Macaca fascicularis: one gene and its partner. The main gene of each other region encodes a partner of the protein of the gene in region 2 in a complex. Links are inferred from orthologs where the notes say so. Each region holds a gene or a part of one and is shown on either strand. Other genes may lie near its edges.

Evidence for each region.
Region 1: EXOSC4 (region 2) and EXOSC1 share a complex: the UniProt entries of both Homo sapiens proteins name them as parts of the RNA exosome core complex. The link is inferred for Macaca fascicularis from reciprocal best matches to the Homo sapiens genes EXOSC4 and EXOSC1.

Annotation. Positions count from the first base shown.
Region 1 is NC_088383.1:106,394,820-106,405,030, forward strand, and holds the start of EXOSC1 (exosome complex component CSL4), read right to left. Parts: upstream 5,415-10,211; 5' UTR 5,393-5,414; coding exon 5,362-5,392; intron 5,255-5,361; coding exon 5,139-5,254; intron 2,724-5,138; coding exon 2,649-2,723; intron 1-2,648. UniProt on the Homo sapiens protein: Non-catalytic component of the RNA exosome complex which has 3'->5' exoribonuclease activity and participates in a multitude of cellular RNA processing and degradation events.
Region 2 is NC_088382.1:153,745,777-153,755,537, reverse strand, and holds EXOSC4 (exosome complex component RRP41), read right to left. Parts: upstream 4,807-9,761; 5' UTR 4,699-4,806; coding exon 4,528-4,698; exon of another isoform or gene 4,211-4,527; intron 3,497-4,210; coding exon 3,290-3,496; intron 3,199-3,289; coding exon 2,839-3,198; 3' UTR 2,791-2,838; downstream 1-2,790. UniProt on the Homo sapiens protein: Non-catalytic component of the RNA exosome complex which has 3'->5' exoribonuclease activity and participates in a multitude of cellular RNA processing and degradation events.

The DNA.
Region 1 (10,211 bases), on a different chromosome or scaffold from region 2:
AGATTTTTTAAAGTATAGATGGCTAACATTGGAAAAAAAAAAAAAAAAGGCTGGACACGGTGGCTCATGCCTGTAATCCCAGCACTTTGGGAGGCTGAGGTGGGCACATCACTTGAGGTCAGGAGTTCGGGACCAGCCTGGCCAACCTGGTAAAACCCCATCTGTACTAAAAATACAAAAATTAGCTAGGCGTGGCAGCATACGCCTATAATCCCAGCTACTCGGGAGGCAGAGGCAGTAGAATCACTTGAACCCAAGAGGCAGAGGCTGCAGTGAGCCAAGATCGTGCCACTGCACTCCAGCCTGGGTGACAGAGCAAGGCCCTGTCTCAAAAAAAAAAAAAAAAAAAATCTAAAAAGGAAAAAAATCAAGGAATGCTAGAAAATAAAAGTCTTTTGCTTCTCTGCAGAAAAAGGTCTCAGCTTCAGATGTTCAAAAATAGGCTTCCCAATCATCCTCTGGCATCCCTGTTTCCCAGACACAGGTAGAAACTCTGTATTCAGAGAATCAGCTCAGTGAAGGAACTACGCATGCCTGACCTTGGCTGCCTTATTATTCTAGAAATCTGTAGACCAGAACAGTCCAGTAAAACTTTATGTAGTGACAGAAAAGTCATGTGCTGACCAGTATAGCAACCACTAGCCACAAGTGGCTACTGAGTACTTGAAATGTGGCTAATGTGACTAAGGAAACCAATTTTATTTTATTTTATTTTATTTATTTATTTTTTTTGAGAAGGAGTCTCGCTCTGTCGCCCAGGCTGGAGTGCAGTAGCCGGATCTCAGCTCACTGCAAGCTCCGCCTCCCGGGTTCCCGCCATTCTCCTGCCTCAGCCTCCTGAGTAGCTGGGACTACAGGCGCCGCCACTTCGCCCGGCTAATTTTTTTTTTTTTTTTTGAGACGGAGTCTCACGCTGTTGCCCAGGCTGGAGTGCAGTGGCGCGATCTCGGCTCACTGGAAGCTCCGCCTCCCGGGTTCCCGCCATTCTCCTGCCTCAGCCTCCTGAGTAGCTGGGACTACAGGCGCCCGCCACCGCGCCCGGCTAATTTTTTGTATTTTTAGTAGAGACGGGGTTTCACTGCGGTCTCGATCTCCTGACCTTGTGATCCGCCCGCCTCGGCCTCCCAAAGTGCTGGGATTACAGGCTTGAGCCACCGCGCCCGGCCCCGGCTAATTTTTTTGTATTTTTTTAGTAGAGACGGGGTTTCACCGTGTTAGCCAGGATGGTCTCGATCTCCTGACCTCATGATCCGCCCGTCTCGGCCTCCCAAAGTGCTGGGATTACAGGCGTGAGCCACCGCGCCCAGCCCTTATTTTTGAGAGACAAGTCTTGTCGTTACCCAGGCTGCAGTGATCATGGCTCACTGCAGCCCCAACCCCCTGGGTTCAAGCGATCCTCCTGCCTCAGCCTACCAAGTAGTTGGGACCACAGGCATGTGCTACCATGCCTGGCTAATTTTTTATTTTTATTTATTTATTTATTTAATTTTCAGAGTCTCACTCTGTTGTCCAGGCTGGAGTGCCGTGACGCGGACTCATTGAAACCTCGGCCTCCCGGGTTCAAGCAAATCTCCTGCCTCAGACTCCCGAGTAGCTGGGATTATAGGCATGTGCCACCACATTGAGCTAATTTTTGTATTTTTAGTAGAGATGGGGTTTCATCATGTTAGCCATGATTGGCCAGGCTGGTCTCGAACTCCTGACCTCAGGTGATCTACCCACCTTGGCCTCCCAAAGTGCTGGGATTACAGGCGTGAGCCACAGTGCCCAGCAATTTTTGATTCTTTTTGTAGAGATGAGGTTTCACTATGTTTCCCAGGCTGGTCTTGAACTCTGGGTTGAAGCAATCCTCCTGCCTCGGCCTCTTTTTTTTTTTTTTTTTCTTTTTTTTTTTTTTTTTTTGAGACGGAGTCTTGCTCTGTGCCCCAGGCTGGAGTGCAGTGGCACGATCTCGGCTCACTGCAAGCTCCGCCCCCCCGGGTTCACGCCATTCTCCTGCCTCAGCCTCCCGAGTAGCTGGGACTACAGGCGCCTGCCACCTCGCCCGGCTAATTTTCTTGTATTTTTAGTAGAGACGGGGTTTCACCGTGTTAGCCAGGATGGTCTCGATCTCCTGACCTCGTGATCCGCCCGTCTCGGCCTCCCAAAGTGCTAGGATTACAGGCTTGAGCCACCGCGCCCGGCCTTTTTTTTTCCTTTGAGACAGAATTTCGCTCTGTTGCCCAGGCTAGAGTGCAGTGGCGCGATCTCAGCTCACTGCAAGCTCCGCCTCCCGGGTTCACGCCATTCTCCTGCCTCAGCCTCCCACATAGCTGGGACTACAGGTACCCGCCACCATGCCCTGCTCATTTTTTTTGTATTTTTAGTAGAGACGGGGTTTCACCGTGTTAGCCAGGATGGTCTCAATCTCCTGACCTTGTGATCAGTCCCCCTTGGCCTCCCAAAGCACTGGGATTATAGGCGTGAGCCACTGCGCCCAGCCTGCCTTGGCCTCTTAAAGTGTAAGAATTACCAGTGTGAGCCATTGTGCCCCGCCAGAAATACATTTATGTAGCTTGTGGCTATCATACTGGACACTGCAGTTCTGGCATGGTCATGATTTCAGCACTGAATGGGCATTCTAAGCATGGAAGTTAGGACAAACTTACCTTACAGGTTACAATAGCTCCGACATCTGGCAGTAACTGGGACTCTGTTTCTCTTACTACAGACACCACAGGAAGCTACGGAGGGAAAAAGAAAAAACTGAAATGTCCTGGCTAACTCTTGGGTCAAAGCATTTGTGTCTTGAGAGTAATATAGGAATGTCTTGGTACACAGGTGAGAGCTGGAGTATGCATTCATTTATAGGCCAGAGCAGAAGGCCTTAGAAATTTTAGGAAATAGGAGGACCAGGGGGCTACAGAATGCTGCTAGAAGATGTAAACCTCTAAACTTCTTTTTTTGTTGTTGTCGTTGGAGATGGAGTCTTGCTCTGTTGCCCAGGCTGGAGTGCAGTGGCATATTCTCGGCTCACTGCAAGCTCCACCTCCCGGGTTCATGCCATTCTCCAGCCTCAGCCTCCCAAGTAGCTGAGACTACAGGCACCTGCCACCACGCCCGGCTAATTTTTTTTGTAGTAAATCCCTAAACTTCCAATAAGTTTTCTGGTGATTCTCTCAGAATTTCTTGGTATACAACTATATTGCCTATAATCATTGACAATTTTACTTTTTTTGGTTTTTTTTTTGAGATGGAGTTTCACTCTTGTTGCCCAGAGTGGAGTGCAATGGCGCCATCTCGGTTCACTGCAACCTCCACCTCCTGGGTTCAAGTGATTCTCCTGCCTCAGCCTCCCGAGTAGTTGGGATTACAGACGCCTGCCACCATGCTCGGGTAATTTTTTGTATTTTTAGTAGAGATGGGGTTTCACCATGTTGGTCAGACTGGTCTCGAACACCTGACCTCAGGTGATCAACCCACCTTGGCTTCCCAAAGTGCTGGGATTACAGGCGTGAGCCACTACATCTGGCTGACAATTTTATTCTTTCCTCCAAAGTTATACTGCTTCTTTCTGTTTCTTATTTTACTGCACAGGCTGAAATTTCCACAGAAATGTTACAAATAGTAGCTACACTTGTTTTAAGTGAATACTTGCAGAGTTTTCTCTTTGAGCATGGTATTGGCTGTTAGTATGAGACAGATATTTTGAGCCTCATCTTTTAACAATCTCTCCGTTGCTTACAATGCTTCAGCTCTCCTGGCCTTCTTTCAGTTTCCCCAACTTACTAAATTCTTCCCACTTTCAGATCTCTCTTCAACCTATTCTTTTTGCCAGAATTGCACTCTCTCCACCCACCTGACTCTAACCTACTCTTTAGATGATTCAGCTTCAATGTCACTTCTGCTGACTAGGATGGATTTGCCTGTTACATGTTCTTAAGGTGCCCTGTAATATTCTTTCAAAGCAGCCACCACATGTGTAACCATATGCTTATTTGAGCATTTATTTGTTTACAATTTGTGTCTGTGTCCTTTGATAGCAGAAACCAAGTCAGCGCTGTGCCTGACACATGAAAATACTCAAGTGGTATCTATCAAATGAACAAACTCAGGACTGTTAAGGACATTCCCAACAATGACTGAATAGAAAGCCCCTTGAGTCAGACGGCTTAAGTTACTTACTCAAAGCAGAATCGAGGTCAAGTTAGCCAGAACCTAACGGTTCTAATTCTGAATCCTCTTTCTACTGTGCTCCTTCAAATATTGCTTATATGATCCTGAGCTAATCCTGGATCAATCTCTAAAACTAGAAAGGTAGGTATTACGCATTCAACAAACATTTATTGAGGAGCTGCTTTGTGCTAGATACTGATGGTATGGTGGTAGCACCTGCACTTCGTGGAACTTAGATTTAAGCAAGGGAGAAGTCTAGTGGGAAACATACCTGAGTGTCTAATCATATGCTGACATAAGTGCTTGGAAGAAAAGGGACAGAGTTTTTTGTAAGTCTTTAACAAAACAAACAAAAACAAAACATCCCACAAAACTCCTTTCCTCAATTAGTGGGTCCAGAAGGGCTTCTCTGAGGTGATAATACAGAAACTAACGGAGGTAGGAATTAAACAGGCCTAAGAAGACAGAAGCGTTCCAGATAGATGGCATGTTACAAAGGCTCTGTAGCAGGAGAAAGCTTGGCACATTACCGACACTGAAAGAAGCTAGTGTGTTACAAATTTTTTTAAAAGGGCAAGCCAAAACTGTGATTATAACTTTTACAAATAGAAAAGACTGTATGATTAGATTGCGTCAGTGAGGTGGAGATAGTGGCACTAGATAAAGCCGGAGAGGTAAGCAACATTCATACAGTATACAACGCACTGCTGGGCTGAGCTGGGCTGGGTTACTGAGTTCGCATCTGCTTTTGTCCCAACCTCCCTCCCCGAGGGTCAGCAGCACAACCAAGCGAGATCAACACAACTAGTGTGTGGTGGCTAAGTGCACAACAGCGGCGATACGGCTAGAAGAAACTAAGAGACCAACATTGTACCACTAAGGCTCTAAAGACGCGTCCGCAGTGCCCATGCCTAAGGACTGGAACTCAAGGGCAGCCTAAGGGAAAAACAGAGAGAGAGGAGACGGCATGCCGCTTCCTTTACCGCGCCGTTCTCGCTGCTCTTCATCAGGCAGCCGGCAAGCGACGAAAAGATGTAGCCGTGGCGGGTGTAGGTGCCGCTGCCCGGGCTGCCCTCCTCCAAGTTACACAGACGTTCGCCTGCAGAAAAAATGCTGCATCGGTCATGGGCCCCCAGAAACTGCAGGCCGTCCAGGCTTCTTGCTTCGGCCCCTATCCAGGACTCTGTACGGGAAGCGCTCACTTACCGGGAATACAGTATCTCACAGGTGGTGCCATGATTGCCGCTGTCCCAAAACCCGGATGAAAACGAAATCGATTTCTCATTGGCCAAACCCAGGCACAGTTCCGCAGTAAGATACGCGTCAATTGGTGTTCTTTATCCTTGCGTGTAAACTCCATTTCCCAGGTTACCCCGGGACAAATCCGGGGGCGGAACTTCAGCGCTCCATGCTTGCGCCTGCGCGTGTGGTTGAGGATGGGCTGGCGGCAGGTCCGGGTCCGCTGGGTGGCACTGCAGGCGGCGGGCCATGGTGGTTTGGATTGAGCCGGGCCCGGCCGGGGCGCCGAGTCGGAGGCGGTGGCAGTGAGCGGCGGCAGAGGCTGCGGGGCTCGGTTTGGCTGACTGGGGAGTCGGCAGGCGGCAGGTAAGGGCGAAGCCTCGGCCCTTGCTCCCCATCCTAGTCCCTTTTTCTGGGTCGGGCAATGCCCTGGGGCCTTGTCTTGAGTCCGGGTTCCTGCTCTCTCCTCGCCCTGCCCTGCGGGGCTGCGCCCTCCTCAGCCGGAGCGCACCTTGCGAGCAACCGTTACGTTCAGAGCAGGAAGGAAGGAGGTCAAGCGACCCAACTCGTCTGTTTCACAGATGTGGAACCTCAGATTCAGAGACCGGGTTTGACTTGTCCAAAATCTTCAAGATAGAGCCCAAACTGGAACCCGCGATTTTTGACTTCCAGTCCATCGCAGTTTCACCTCGCGGCTGTCATTGAGAAATAAAACCTTTTCCCGGTTTTTGTTTTGTTTTGTTTTTGAAAAGGAGTCTCGCTCTTTGGCCAGGCTGGAGTGCAGTGGCGCGATCTCTGCGCACTGCAACCTCCGCCTCCTGGCATCAAGCGATTCTCCTGCCTCAGCCTCCCGCGCAGCTGGGACTACAGGCGCGCGCCATCACGCCCAGCTAATTTTTGTATTTTCAGTAGAGACGGGGTTTCACTATGTTGGCCAGGATGGTCTCGATCTCTTGAGCCGCCCGCCTCAGCCTCCCAAAGTGCAGGAATTACAGGTGATTCCTCCCAAAGTGAGCCACCGCGCCCGGCCTTTTCCCGGTTTTTTAACTGTAGCTTCCAGTCCTGCGGTCCGATCCCCTTCGCGGCCTCCCATCCCCACTTAAGTAAGCTTTCTCAGGTTGAAAAAGCCGAACTCTGGTTGTGTGGGCCCGTCATCAAAAGATAAGCAGCCCCAAAATAAAGTTGCTACTTTTTCTTCTCAGCGTGTTACCCCAGAAGGGAGGTCTGCACGTGAATAAAATGCTACTCTTTATTGATGTCTGGTATCTCCTACTTGAGATTGCAAACATCCCGAGAGCAGCGTCCTTGTCCAGATGACATTGCCCACGACTTTGATCTCAGTTCACCTGACTTCTGATGGCTTTGCCGCCTGTCCCTCCCTGTCCCCTCAGTCGACTTTCCCCTTGGGAAACAGATGGTGACTTAGAGCCATTGGAAGAGGGAAGTGCTGTGGCCTGCAATCTCCTCCTGTCTGGTGGCAGACGACCACTATGGCCTGTGACTGTTACTGAGGGATGAGAGTACTCGGGCTTGTGCTTGGGGTGGTAGTAAAGCTGCGCTTTGCTCTGTTTCCTCCCCTGTTCACTGAGATTACCCCCTTCTTCCCTACACACATATTTTTGAATTTTGCTTTACCTCTATTTCCTGAGATGAAAAGTCTGGGCCAGGTGCGGTGGCCCGCCTGTAATCCCAGCACTTTGGGAGGCTGAGGCAGGCGCATCACCTGAGGTTGGGAGTTCGAGACCAGCCTGACCTACATGGAGAAACCCCGTCTGTACTAAAAAAATACAAAATTAGCCGGGCGTGGGGGTGCATGCCTGTAATCCCAGCTACTCAGGAGGCTGAGGCAGGAGAATTGCTTGAACCCAGGAGGCGGAGGTTGTGGTGAGCCCAGATTGTGCCATTGCACTCCAGCCTGGGCAACAAGAGCAAAACTCAGTCTCAAAAAAAAAAAAAAAAAAAGTTTGTATGTTCAGTTGCAGCCCACTTACTACATATATCAATTTCCTGGCACCCTGTACCCCATTAGCTAATGGAGAGAGGCCCTAGCTTCAGACTTTGTTCACCCAAATCTGTATCTGTGCATCTAGGAGCTTTCTATTTACACGGTTGGGCTGATTTCTGGTTGGGCTTGTTTTCAAAAATGACTTCTAGCTCCTAAGTGCCATGATTTTAATAACAGTTTGTATTTCTCTCTTTATTAATCAGACAGAATGATAGCAGGAGACACTTATTTAGAGTTATCACATTGGCAAGAGTGTCCTTGTTGGTATTTGTAGGACAGATAGACATCTGGCCAGGCTTTCCACTTCTGCATCCCTCCAGGTCATTCGTTCAACAAATATTTGAGTACTTCCATGAGCCAAGTATTGTGCTAAGTGCTTTATAAACATTTCATTTACACTTACCAAATACAGTTTGCCCTTCATACCTGTGAGCTTCACATCGCAGATTCAACCAACCATGGATTGGAAATACTTGGGGGCAGCCGGGGGTGGTGGCTTACGCCTATAATCCCAGCACTTTGGGAGGCCAAGGCAGGCAGATCACCTGAGGTCAGGAGTTTAAGACCAGCCTTGCCAACATTGTGAAACCCTGTCTCTATTAAAAATACAAACATTTGCTGGGGGAGGTGACGGGTGCCTGTAATCCCAGCTACTTGGGAGGCAGAGGCAGGGAGAATTGCTTGAACCCAGGAGACAGAGGTTGCAGTGAGCCGAGATCTTGCCACTGTACTTCAGCCTGGGCAACAGAGCAAGACTTCATCTCAAAAACAAACAAAAAAAGTGTTTATGTGTAGCATTTACTTTGTATTAGGTATTATGAGTAATCTAGAAATGATTTAAAGTATATGGGAGGATATGTATAGGTTATATGCAAATACTATGCCATTTTATTTTATTTATTTATTTATTTTTGAGACGGAGTCTCTCTCTGTCGCCCAGGCTGCAGTGCAGTGGCCAGATCGCAGCTCACTGCAAGCTCCGCCTCCCGGGTTTACGCCATTCTCCTGCCTCAGCCTCCCAAGTAGCTGGGACTACAGGCGCCCGCCACCTCGCCCGGCTAGTTTTTTTGTATTTTGTAGTAGAGACGGGGTTTCACCGTGTTAGCCAGGATGGTCTCGATCTCCTGAGCTCGTGATCCGCCCGTCTCGGCCTCCCAAAGTGCTGGGATTACAGGCTTGAGCCACCGCGCCCGGCCTATGCCATTTTATAACAGATTTGAGCATCCATAGATTTTGGTATCTGAAGGGAGGACTGGAACCAATCCCTCCGCAGATACGGGCGTTGACTGTATCCGTATAGTTACAGAATCAATAAGGGTGAGAGCTGGAAGGGACTTCAGCATTTAATCCCACTCCCTCACTGAATGTGAACACAAGGAGATTGAGTCCCAGCAGGGTTGAATGATTTGTCCGAGGCTACAGAACTGCTTAGGGACAGAATTGAACCCTAAGGAATTGGGTAAATCTAGTCCTTGAGGCAGGCATTTCCTGTAGCGCTCAGGAATTTAGGACGTGGTTGAGAATGATCTGAAAAGTGGAGAACAGAAGTTTTTTTTTTTTAAGACTAGAAGAGGTGTGAAGTAGCATATAATTCGAGTTTATTACAAATGAGGAATGCATTGGATTTGCATGCTAATACTACAAAAAGTATTTTGGCAAATAGGAAACTCTCCATTAGCTATAGAAAGGGAATGAACAGTGATGTGGACAGTCCCACAGCCACCTAGATTTGTTGTGGGGTAATCTGTTTTGTCCCACTCTTACATTTGATTGTGGGTATCTACCACTTTAAAAATTCATGCTACAAGCCAAATCATGCCTCCAAACAATAGGGGTGGAAGTTTGAGCTTGAGCTTTTTTAAAAAAAATTTTTTTTGAGATGGAGTCTTACTCTTGTCTCCCAGGCTGGAGTGCACTGGTGTGATCTCGGCTCACTGCAACCTCCACCTCCCGGGTTTACGCCATTCTCCTGCCTCAGGCTCCCAAGTAGCCAGGATTACAGGCATGTGCCACCGTGCCCAGCTATTTTTTTGTATTTTCAGTAGAGACAAAGTTTCACCATGTTGGCCAGGCTGGTCTCTAACTCCTGACCTCAAGTGATCCACCTGCCTCAGCCTCCCAAAGTGTTGGGAGTACAGGCGTGAGCCACCATGCCTGGCCTTTTTTTATCTTTTCTACACTCCCTTTAATTCTTTTAGCTTCCTAGGAGGTGACAGGAACAGACGGTTTATTTATCCTGGTGCTGTGTAGGTCCCTACCGAATTGTGCTTTCTCCTCTGTAGACCTTGTCTGCTGAGTTCGTTTTCGCCTTAGAGCTTACAGGGCTTGTGCAAGGAGGTAATTAAGTGTTTTCTTTGAAAGGTCTTTTGTGGGGATGAGCCAGGGTGCAAGGAGAGTACAGTGCTCCAGTTACAGAATTGAAACCGTCCCTGCAGTGGAGCAGCCTCCTCCAGTTTCTGTTGGGTTTTGAGCTACCTGTTAAGTAAGTCAATGGGGTTGTCAAGGACAAAGCAGCCCTCCCTGGCTGCCTCAGGGCAAAATCAGATAATTTTTCTTTCTGGTGAAAGTATTTAATCTAGGCCGGGCGCGGTGGCTCAAGCCTGTAATCCCAGCACTTTGGGAGGCCGAGACGGGCGGATCACGAGGTCGGGAGATCGAGACCATCCTGGTTAACACGGTGAAACCCCGTCTCTACTAAAAAATACAAAAAACTAGCCGGGCGAGGTGGCGGGCGCCTGTAGTCCCGGCTACTCGGGAGGCTGAGGCAGGAGAATGGCGTGAACCCGGGAGGCGGAGCTTGCAGTGAGCTGAG
Region 2 (9,761 bases):
GGGGAGACATCACATGTCGGCAGGTTCCATGATGCCCTCCAGCCATAAAACCAGCAAGTTTTTATTAGCAATTTTCAAAAGGGAGGGAGTGTACGAATAGGGTGTGGGTCACAGAGATCACATGCTTCAAGGGCGACAAAAGATCACAAAGCAGAAGGCCATGGCGAAACTCGAATCACTAATGAATTTCCATGTCCGGCTGTGCACGCATTGTCAGGGTTCAAGAGCAGAGAACCGGTCTGACTAGAATTCGCCAGGCTGGAACTTCCTAATCCTAGCGAGCCTGGGGGCGCTGCAGGACACTAGGGCACTTCATCCCCATCTACATCTGCATAAGGCAGACACCGCCAGAGCGGCCATTTCAGAGGCCTCCCCTAGGAATGCATTCTTTTCCCCCAGGGCTGTTAATTATTAATATTCCTTACTGGGGAAAGAATTCAGCGATACTTCTCTTACCCGTTTTCAGTAACAAGAGAAATATGGCTCTGTCCTGCCTGGCCCACAGGCAGCCAGACTTTAAGGTTATCTCCCTTGTTCCCCAAGATCGCTGTTACCCTGTTCTTTTTTCAAGGTGCCCAGATTTCATATTGTTTAAACACACATGCATTAAACGAACAATCTGTGCAGTTAACGCAATCATCACAGGGTCATGAGCTGATATACATCCTCAGCTTATGAAGATGATGGGATTAAGAGATTAAAGACAGGCATAGGAAATCACAAGAGTATTGATTGGGGAAGGGATAAATGGCCATGAAATCTTTTTTTTTTTTGAGACGGAGTCTCACTCTGTCGCCCAGGCTGGAGTGCAGTGGCGCAATCTCAGCTCACTGCAAGCTCCGCCTCCCGGGTTTACGCCATTCTCCTGCCTCAGCCTCCCGAGTAGCTGGGACTACAGGCACCCGCCACCTCGCCCCGCTAGTTTTTGTATTTTTTTAAGTAGAGACGGGGTTTCACCGTGTTAGCCAGGATGGTCTCGATCTCCTGACCTCGTGATCCACCCGTCTTGGTCTCCCAAAGTGCTGGGATTACAGGCTTGAGCCACCGCGCCTGGCCGTCCATGAAATCTTTACAATTTATGTTCTGTCATGGCTTTAGCGGTTACCTCTGTTCGGGGTCCCTGACTTCCCACAACAGGGCAGGTGGGTGGAAAGCCGGCGGCGGTCAGAGAATGGATGCCAAGCGATACTGTCAATGACTCAGGACGTCCCAGTGGAGTCACAGCATGAGCCCAGCACCAAGGTTTTCTGAGTCAGATGACCGCAGAGATGCTGATAGCACTACTGGCCAAAATGGGCTTCACTAGAGCTGGGGTGTGTGCAGTATAAAGTAGGGGAGCATACTGTCCCTGTCCAGGCCAAGAGATCCTTGGAATATTAGGGGAGCAGCAGCCCCAGGGTCCACACTGCAGGAGCTGGTAGTCAGGGCTCCGGCAGGTCTGTGGGCCAGAGGTGAATGAAGGGGTAGTTTGCTCAAGAAGAGGATGCACTTTGGGAAGGTGAGGTGGGAGGATCCTTTGAGACCAGCCTGGACAACAAAATGAGACCCAGTCTCTACACACAAAAAAATTCTTTTTAAATTAGCCAGGTAGGTGGGACATGCCTGTAGTCTTAGTTCAGGAGGCCAAAGTGGGAGGATCACTTGAGCCTAGGAGATTGAGACTGCAGTGAGCCGTGATCACACCACTGCACTCCAGCCTGAGCACAGAGCAAGACTATGTCTCAACAAATAAATAGTGGTGGGCAGAGAGAAGGGTCAAAACTGAAGACTCCATGTGAGAACAATTTTTTTTTTTTTTTTTTTTTTGAGACAGAGTCTTGCTGTCATCCAGGCTGGAGTGCAGTGGTGCTATCTTGGCTAACTGTGACCTTCATCTCTGGTTCAAGTGATTCTCCTGCCCCAGCCTCCCTAGTAGCTGGGACTACAAGTACCTGCCACCACACTAATTTTTGTATTAGTAGAGATGGGGTTTCACCATGTTGGCCAGGCTGGTCTCGAACTCCTGACCTCAAGTGATCCATGAGAACAGGTAATTTTTGTACTTTTATTTTTTTTAGATGGAGTCTTGCTCTGTCGCCCAGGCTGCAGTGCAGTGGCACGATCTCGGCTCACTGCAACCTCCGCCTCCCCGGTTCAAGAGATTCTCCTGCCTCAGCCTCCTGAGTAACTCAGATTACAGGCATGTGCCACCACCCCCAGCTAATTTTGTATTTTTCGTAGAGACGGGGTTTCACCATGTTGGCCAGGATGGTCTCAAATTCCTGACCTGAAGCAATCCGCCTGCCTCAGCCTCTCAAAGTTCTGGGATTACAGGTGTGAGCCACCATGCCTGGCTGTTGCATTTTTTAGAGCCCAAGGTAAGCAGCAGGAAAAGCCCAAGGGGCTCCAGGCCATAGTCCAGAGGCCATGGGACATGGCCCCCACATCTCTAGGTTGGGTACTCAGAGCCAGCTGAGTTCTCCCTCAGCCCTTTGCTCAGGGCCCCGGATGTGCCAGAGTAAGGGTAACAGATTCCTCAGTCCAATGACCTGCTCATCTTGCCAGGCCCTGCCTCCTGCTCAGCTGCCTTGAGTCCTTACTGGGACATGTTGCTTTTTCCACCCAGGACCTCCCCCACAGCAACCCCCTAATCCACTGTTCTTTTCAGGGTTTGAATTAGGCTACACAGAGATAGGCAGTTCATGTGTGGGCGAGGGGCCCTGGTCATCCCCAGGAGCCAGCACCAGACCAGGCTCTGCCAGGCTTCACATGGCTCTGAAGTGCTATTGGGTGATTAACGTACAGTGAGGGTTGTGTGGGCAGAGGAGGGTTTTATTCTGGACATGGGTGGCTGGGTGGTCAGTCCCCCAGCAAGATAGAGGCCTCACGCACATGCTGCCTGACCACTCTGTCCAAGAGGGTGTGCACATCTCGAGCAGCCTGGGCAGCAGCCTCCAACACCCGCTCCAGGTGGTCCTCGTGCAGCCGGGCATCCATCTCAAGCAGCGCAATCTGTCCTGAGGCTGGCAGCAGGGCCAGGGCCAGCTGGGGGCCACCAGCTGCTTCCTCCACATGGCTGAGGTCCGCCAGGGCTGTGCCGTCCACAAAGCCAGCTGAGCACGCACACACAAAGTCTCTCATGGGTATCCCAGCATCCAGCACTGCCAGTGTGGCCGCATTCACACAAGCTGCATAGGTCCCACCATCTGCCTGTAGCACCTGCAGGGACCCCAGGGTGTGAGTCTATCAGACTCTCTCCCCAACCCCATCACACCCACCCCTCCCTGGATTGACACTGCAGCCGGCTCACCTGCACATAGATATCAATCTGGGAACGTGGGTGCAGCTGTGTAAGGATGGCTGCCTCGAAAGTCTGGCGGAGCTGCAGGCCCATCTCACAGGACTTCCGGTCCCCATGTGGCCGTCGCTTGCGCTCACCTGTGCTGAAGGTCGCTGAACTATATTGACAGTTCACTAGGGCCCTGTCCGGCAGGGCTCGAGCCCGGGAACCCCGGATCTGGAAGAGGACGGACACATGAGCCAGGCCCACTCCTTCCAGCTCACACGCCACTGTCCTCTGTGGGTCTGCCTCTCCCTCCACTTTCAATGCCTCAGCAAGGGGCAACTACATTACCTCCAAAACAAAGCCCCCTGTTTTGCACTGTCTTGCATGTGTTGCCCTCTGGCATCTTTTAATTGGCTTCCTTGTGCCCATCCTTGCCCCATTCCCTGCCAACCCAAGTTTACAAACATCAAGGCTGATTCTGTCTCACCTTCACACTCAAATCCTAATTACCTTACAAAGGTTTCACATTACATATGAAATAAAATCCCAAATCATTTCCCTGGTCTACAAAACCCTAATTCCTCACCTCCCCGGGAACTCTCAACCTTATTTAGAGTTATCCCCTCTTTCCCCACCAGCAGTCTTTCTGTTATGCATGAGTGCCTTGCTTGTTTTCACCACCGTGGTCTTCGCCCTCCTGGTTCCCTCCGCCTGGAAAGCAGAGCTCCTACCCTCATGCGCTAAACAAACACTCTTTCAATACCTTCACTGGCCAGGCACAGTTACAGCGCTGGAAACACAGCAATGAAACCAGAGAGTTTTATGTAGTTTCTGTCCTTAGGAAGCTTATGTTCTAGCGAGGAAACGGGAAAATGCTTAAGCAAAATAGGCATTTGAGATTGTAGATGCACAAAAGACAAGGGTTTATTGTAGGGAGAGAAGTACCGCATGGATAAAGCCGTCTGAGAAGGAGTGACGTCGGAGTAGAGCTGAGAGGAGAGGGAGCGAGTGGGGGAGTGCCTGGCACGTTGAAGAGCCGCAAAGAGGAGGGAGAGCGCAGGCACAGAGACCGATGAGAAAGGCAGGACCACCGCGCAGCACACTAAAGACTTGCGTTTACTCCGAGTGAGATGCAGTGCTGAGCATCGGCTGTGTAGACTGAGGCGCGCCGGCCGCACCTCTCAAGTCCCCGAACCTGTGCTCAGCCCGGCTGCCCCGCAGATCCCGCGGTCACGCGATTCCCATCCCGCACGCCCACTCGCCTCGTGCGGGCCGTAGACCACCGCCAGCGCCTTGGTGTTGCCCTGCTCGATGTAGGCCGAGCCGTCAGCCTGCGCGAACACGCCCATCCGAGCCTGGATCTTGCGCAGCTCCCCGGCGCGCCGACCGTCCACCCGGTAGCCCTGGTCCGACAAGAGCTCCAGCCCCGCCATGCTGCCCGGCCGCCAGCTCCGCTCTCTGCCTAGTTCTCTGATTCGCGGGAGAACTACAGCGCCCTGCGGCTCCGACCTCCCCAAATCTACGGTTTCCGGCGGTCCGCTATCACTTCCGGTTCCGGGGAGCTACAGCTCCCCGCGGTCCCGACCTCCCTGGATCTACGGTTTCCGGCGGTCCGCTGTCACTTCCGGTCCCGGAGAACTGGAGTTCCTCGCGGCACCGACCTCCCTGGATCTACGGTTTCTGGCGGTTCGGCTTCACTTCTGTCTCCGGGGAACTGCGGTGGCGCTGTCGGGGAAGCAGCGGTTGAGCCCGCAGCCGTTCCCGGAGCTGTGTCCCGGGTGCCAGGAGGTGGGCGCCCGCCGAAGGAGAAATTCCCGTCACGCCCTCGGGACCAGTGGTGCCTACATTCAGCCCTTCCCCGCGCCCCAAGTGTGGAAGTGGAAGGATGAACCCAGTGGGTTGCGACACTGACAGGAGAAGGCATAGAGCGGTGCTAGAAAAGTGACCAGGCTGGTGTCCCAGGATGGTCCACACCTGGCACCTCTCCAGTCCTCTCATGCCCTCCCTTTACACCGGGCTTCCACACTGCAGTCGAGTGGGCCTCCCTTTTCCTTTTGAGGTTGCAGATTTCCTCATCCTTTCCAGAGAGGGGTTGTGTGTCTGTTTATCTCTTGCCACTTAACCTCAGCGGCTTCAAATAGCAATCATTCTATTATTATGTCCTGCAGTCTTGGGTTATCTAGGCTCAGCTAGGTAGTTTGCACGTAGGCTCTCTCCTACAGTTGCTGCCAGATGGTGGCTGGGGCTGGAGCCATCCTAAAGCTTTCTCTTTCACATCTTTGGTGGCTGATGCTGGTGGCTGGCCAGGACCTCATCTGTGGCTGTCAGGCAGCACACCTACCTGTGGCTTCTCCATGCTTCCTTGCAATATGGCAGCTGGGTTCCAAGGGTAGCCTTCCAGGACAATGAGATGGACAACATGTGCATGATATTTTTAGAACCTAGCCTCAGAAGTCACATAGTGTCCCTCCTGCCAGACTCTGTGGGTCAAGGCAGTCAGACACATCTACCCAGGCTTAAGGGATGGGGACAGGGACCCCACCCTTCAGTGAGAGGAGTGTCAATATTAGACTGTAGGAACAGCAGGTGGGCTGGGGAAATGCAGTCTGCTGCAGGGGCCCAAGTTCAGCATCCCCTTAGAGGTGGTTATGCTCTCCTGAAAGACTGAGAGGCATGAGAATGAGTGAGCAAGCCACAGCCCTGCTGCTGCAGCTGGTATGAGGCCATGATAGGCCACTATCCTCTGCCACTGGCCACCACCGATTCCCCACCCTTGGCTCTGCAGCCAGACACTGCGTACTGTGGAGCAGCCCAGGCCCTTCTCCCCTTGCAGTCTGAGCTCTTCCTGTCCCTGTTCTTACTGGGTCATTTTGTTTGTTTTGTTTTTTTGAGATGGAGTCTCACTCTGTCACCCAGGCTGGAGTGCTGTGGCACAGTATCAGCGCACTGCTCCCTCCACCTCCTGGGTCCAAGTGATTCTTGTATCTCAGCCTCCCAAGTAGCTGGGAAGCTGGGATTACAGGCACCTGCCACTATGCCTGGGGAAGGTTTTTGGTTTTTTTTTTTTTTTTTTTTTTTTGGAGACGGAGTCTCACTGTCACCCAGGCTGGAGTGCAGAGGCACGATCTCAGCTCACTGCAACCTCCAGCTCCTGGGTTCAAGCGATTCTCCTACCTCAGCCTCCCAAGTAGCTGGGATTACAGGCATGCGCCACCATGCCCTGCTGACTTTTTTTTTGTAGTTTTAGTAGAGATGGGGTTTCACCATGTTGACCAGGCTGGTCTTGAACTCCTGACCTCAGGTGATCCACCTGCCTCGGCCTCCTGCCACTGCACCTGGCCATTACTGGGTCGTTGTTTCGACTGTCCACTGACAGTCCTTGCCACATGCAGGAAGACTAGACATCCAGGGAGCTCTGTGGACTGCCCACCCTAGTTGTGTAGCAGTGACCATAGCAACTCAGGAAAATGAGGACGATGTTGGTATTCAGCCTAAGTAGCCCAAAGTAGGCCAGTGATAGCTGCTACTTCAAGATCAGTGGAACCTTTGCTGTGTTCCCTGGTGGAAGTATTCGCCTTCAGGAACTAGGCCTCCAACCTGGCAGCATTCCAGGTTTAGGATTATGGGGCCACTGCTACCTCACACTTTTGGTTCTCTGATCCTCGTACTCCAGCTTTAGGGTACACACATGGGTCGATTCAAATTTTGGAGGCCTAAAGCTTATACAAATTCAGGGGCCGTGAGGAGTATCCTCAAGATCCCTCCGGAATAATCAATTTGCTAGAAGGACTCACTATAGACTCACGGCTAAGATTATTACACAGAGAAGATAGTAAGTCTGAATCAGCAAAGAGAAAAGGTGCATGGGATGAATTCCACAGGAAATCAGGCGTGAGCTGGCCAAGTGCTCTCCTGGTGGACTCCACAGGAAGAAGCTGGAGCTGTGTGTGTGAAATGCTGTCTGCCAGGGAAGCTTCTTAGACACTCAGCACCCTGGGGTTTTATGGAGGGAAGGTTACATACACAGTCTGTGCCAAGCATGTGCCCAAATTCCAGACCCCCAGAAGCAACACAGGCGTTCAGCATGAGCCATGTTTGTACAAACAGTCTAGGCACAGTGAGACACGCTTTCCAGAGAATGGAGGGAACCATCCCAAAACCCAAATTCCCAGACACCAACTCTTCAAGCTTGCCTGTGAAGAAGAGCTTCTCAGGCCTGCCGTTAACTCGTCTACGCAGTCTTCTTTTGAAACATAAGACAAAATTATATATCCAAAACTAAGTGAATAGTGAGAAAAGAAGCCCCAACACAAACATTTTAAAAGTTGACAAATACTACAAACATCACAAAATGCAGAAAACCTACAGGTTTCCCCTACATTTCTTTGATGCATTCTCTGATGCTCTGTTAAGATGACAACACTTGTTTTTTTTTTTTTTGAGACGGAGTCTTGCTCTGTTCCCCAGGCTGGAGTGCAGTGGCACGATCTCAGCTCACTGCAAGCTCCGCCTCCGGGGTTCACACCATTCTCCTGTCTCAGCCTCCCAAGTAGCTGGGACTATAGGCACCCTTCACCACGCCTGGCTAATTTTTTTTTTTTTTTATTTTTAGTAGAGACGGGGTTTCACCGTGTTAGCCAGGGTGGTCTCAATCTCCTGACCTCATGATCTGCCCGCCTCGGCCTCCCAAAGTGCTGGGATTACAGGCTTGAGCCACCATGCCCGGACGACAACACTTTTTATAATGTAACCTCCTATATGTAGAAAGAAGGTGGCAGATGCGGTGACTCGCGCCTGTAATCCCAACACTTTTGGGAGGCAGAGGCAGGTGGATCCCTTCAGTCTAGGAGTTCAAGATCAGCCTGGACAACATGGCAAAACCCCATCTCTACAAAAAATACAAAAAATTAGCTGGACATGGTGGTGCATACCTGTGGTCCCAGCTACTTGGGAGGCTGAGGTGGGAGGATCACTTCAGCTGGGGAGGTCAAGGCTGCAGTAAGCTGTGGTCCTACCACTGCACTCCAGCCTGGGCAACAGAATGAGATGCTGTCAAAACAAAAAACAAATAAACAAAAACCAAGAAAGAAAATGATTTAGTTTCTCCTCTCACATGTTTGATCAAAATTTAATTTTATTACTTATAGTTAAGTTGCTTTCAGGTAAAAGCTCCTTTGGGTAATATGTACATTTTTAGAATTGTCATTAAATTTGAGGAAATCGCTTATCAAATTTTTTCCACATGTGAGCCATAACATTTCAGGTGTTGGCTGGGTGAGGTAGCTCATGCCTGTAATCCCAACACTCTGGGAAACTGAGGCAGGAGGATCGCTTGAGGCCAGGTGTCCGAGACCAGCCTGGGCAGCATAGTGATACACTATCTCTACAAAAAAAAAAAAAAATTAAAAATTAGCTGGGCATGGTGGCACACACCTGTAGTTCCAGCTACTTGAGAGACTGAGACGGGAGGTTGGCCTGAGCCGAGGGAGTTCAAAGCTGCTGTGAGCTATGATCGCTCCACTGCACTCCTGCCCGTACCACAGAGTGAGGCTCTGTCTCAAAAAACAAACAAAAAACCCCAGAACCCTCCCCCCAAATAAAAATGAATTTGAGTTTGGGTTTTCTTGCTTGTGACTACTCTTAGATCCTCTTTGAGTTGACACTTGGCCAGTGTCATCAGCTTGTTGTGTTAACATGGAGCCGAGGGAGATGGGTGTTTCTGGAAGCCATTTCTACACCAGAATGACCAGCGACAGCATAACTGTATCAGGAAGTGACTGTTCCCACCAAGCCCAAGCAAAACGTACCCTCAACTCAGCCTCCCAGGAGCTGGACCCCACAACGCCCCCTCCAGCTCTGTGCAGCAGGGGAGGGGGTAACTGATGGCAGGTTGCAGGGGGAAGAGACAGTTTTAGCTGGTTGTGGTTAAAATATCTCACTTTTACAAATTTTATGAAATATATGACTTGACTCTGTAAATAGTTTGCTGGGGCCCAAGCTGGGAAGGGGCTGTGGGACTGAGGATCCTGGAACGGATTCCCGAGATTCCTAGTGAACCTGTTTCTCGAGCTCCAACTCCTTAGGGCAGCACAGGCGCATCCCAGCAGAAGTGCCCCGCCCTGGAAGGGGCTGACATCCAGCTGGCAGCGGGGCAGGGCCTTCAGCAGACTGTGCCACTATTCTGTTGGGCCGAGAAGGGTTTGAGAGACCAGTGAGTCCCAGGGATGTGAGCTCATTGCCACACAGTAGGCACTAAGGTGGGTTGTTAGGATTTTTTTTTTTGAGATACAGTCTCACTCTGTCGCCCAGGCTAGAGTGCAACGGCGCGAACTGGGATCACTGCAACCTCCGCCTCCTGTGTTCAAGCGATTCTCATGTCTCAGCCTCCTGAGTATCTGGGATTACAGGCGCATGCCACCGTGCCTGGCTAATTTTTGTATTTTTAGTAGAGACAGGATTTCACCATGTGGACCAGGCTGGCCTCAAACTCCTGACC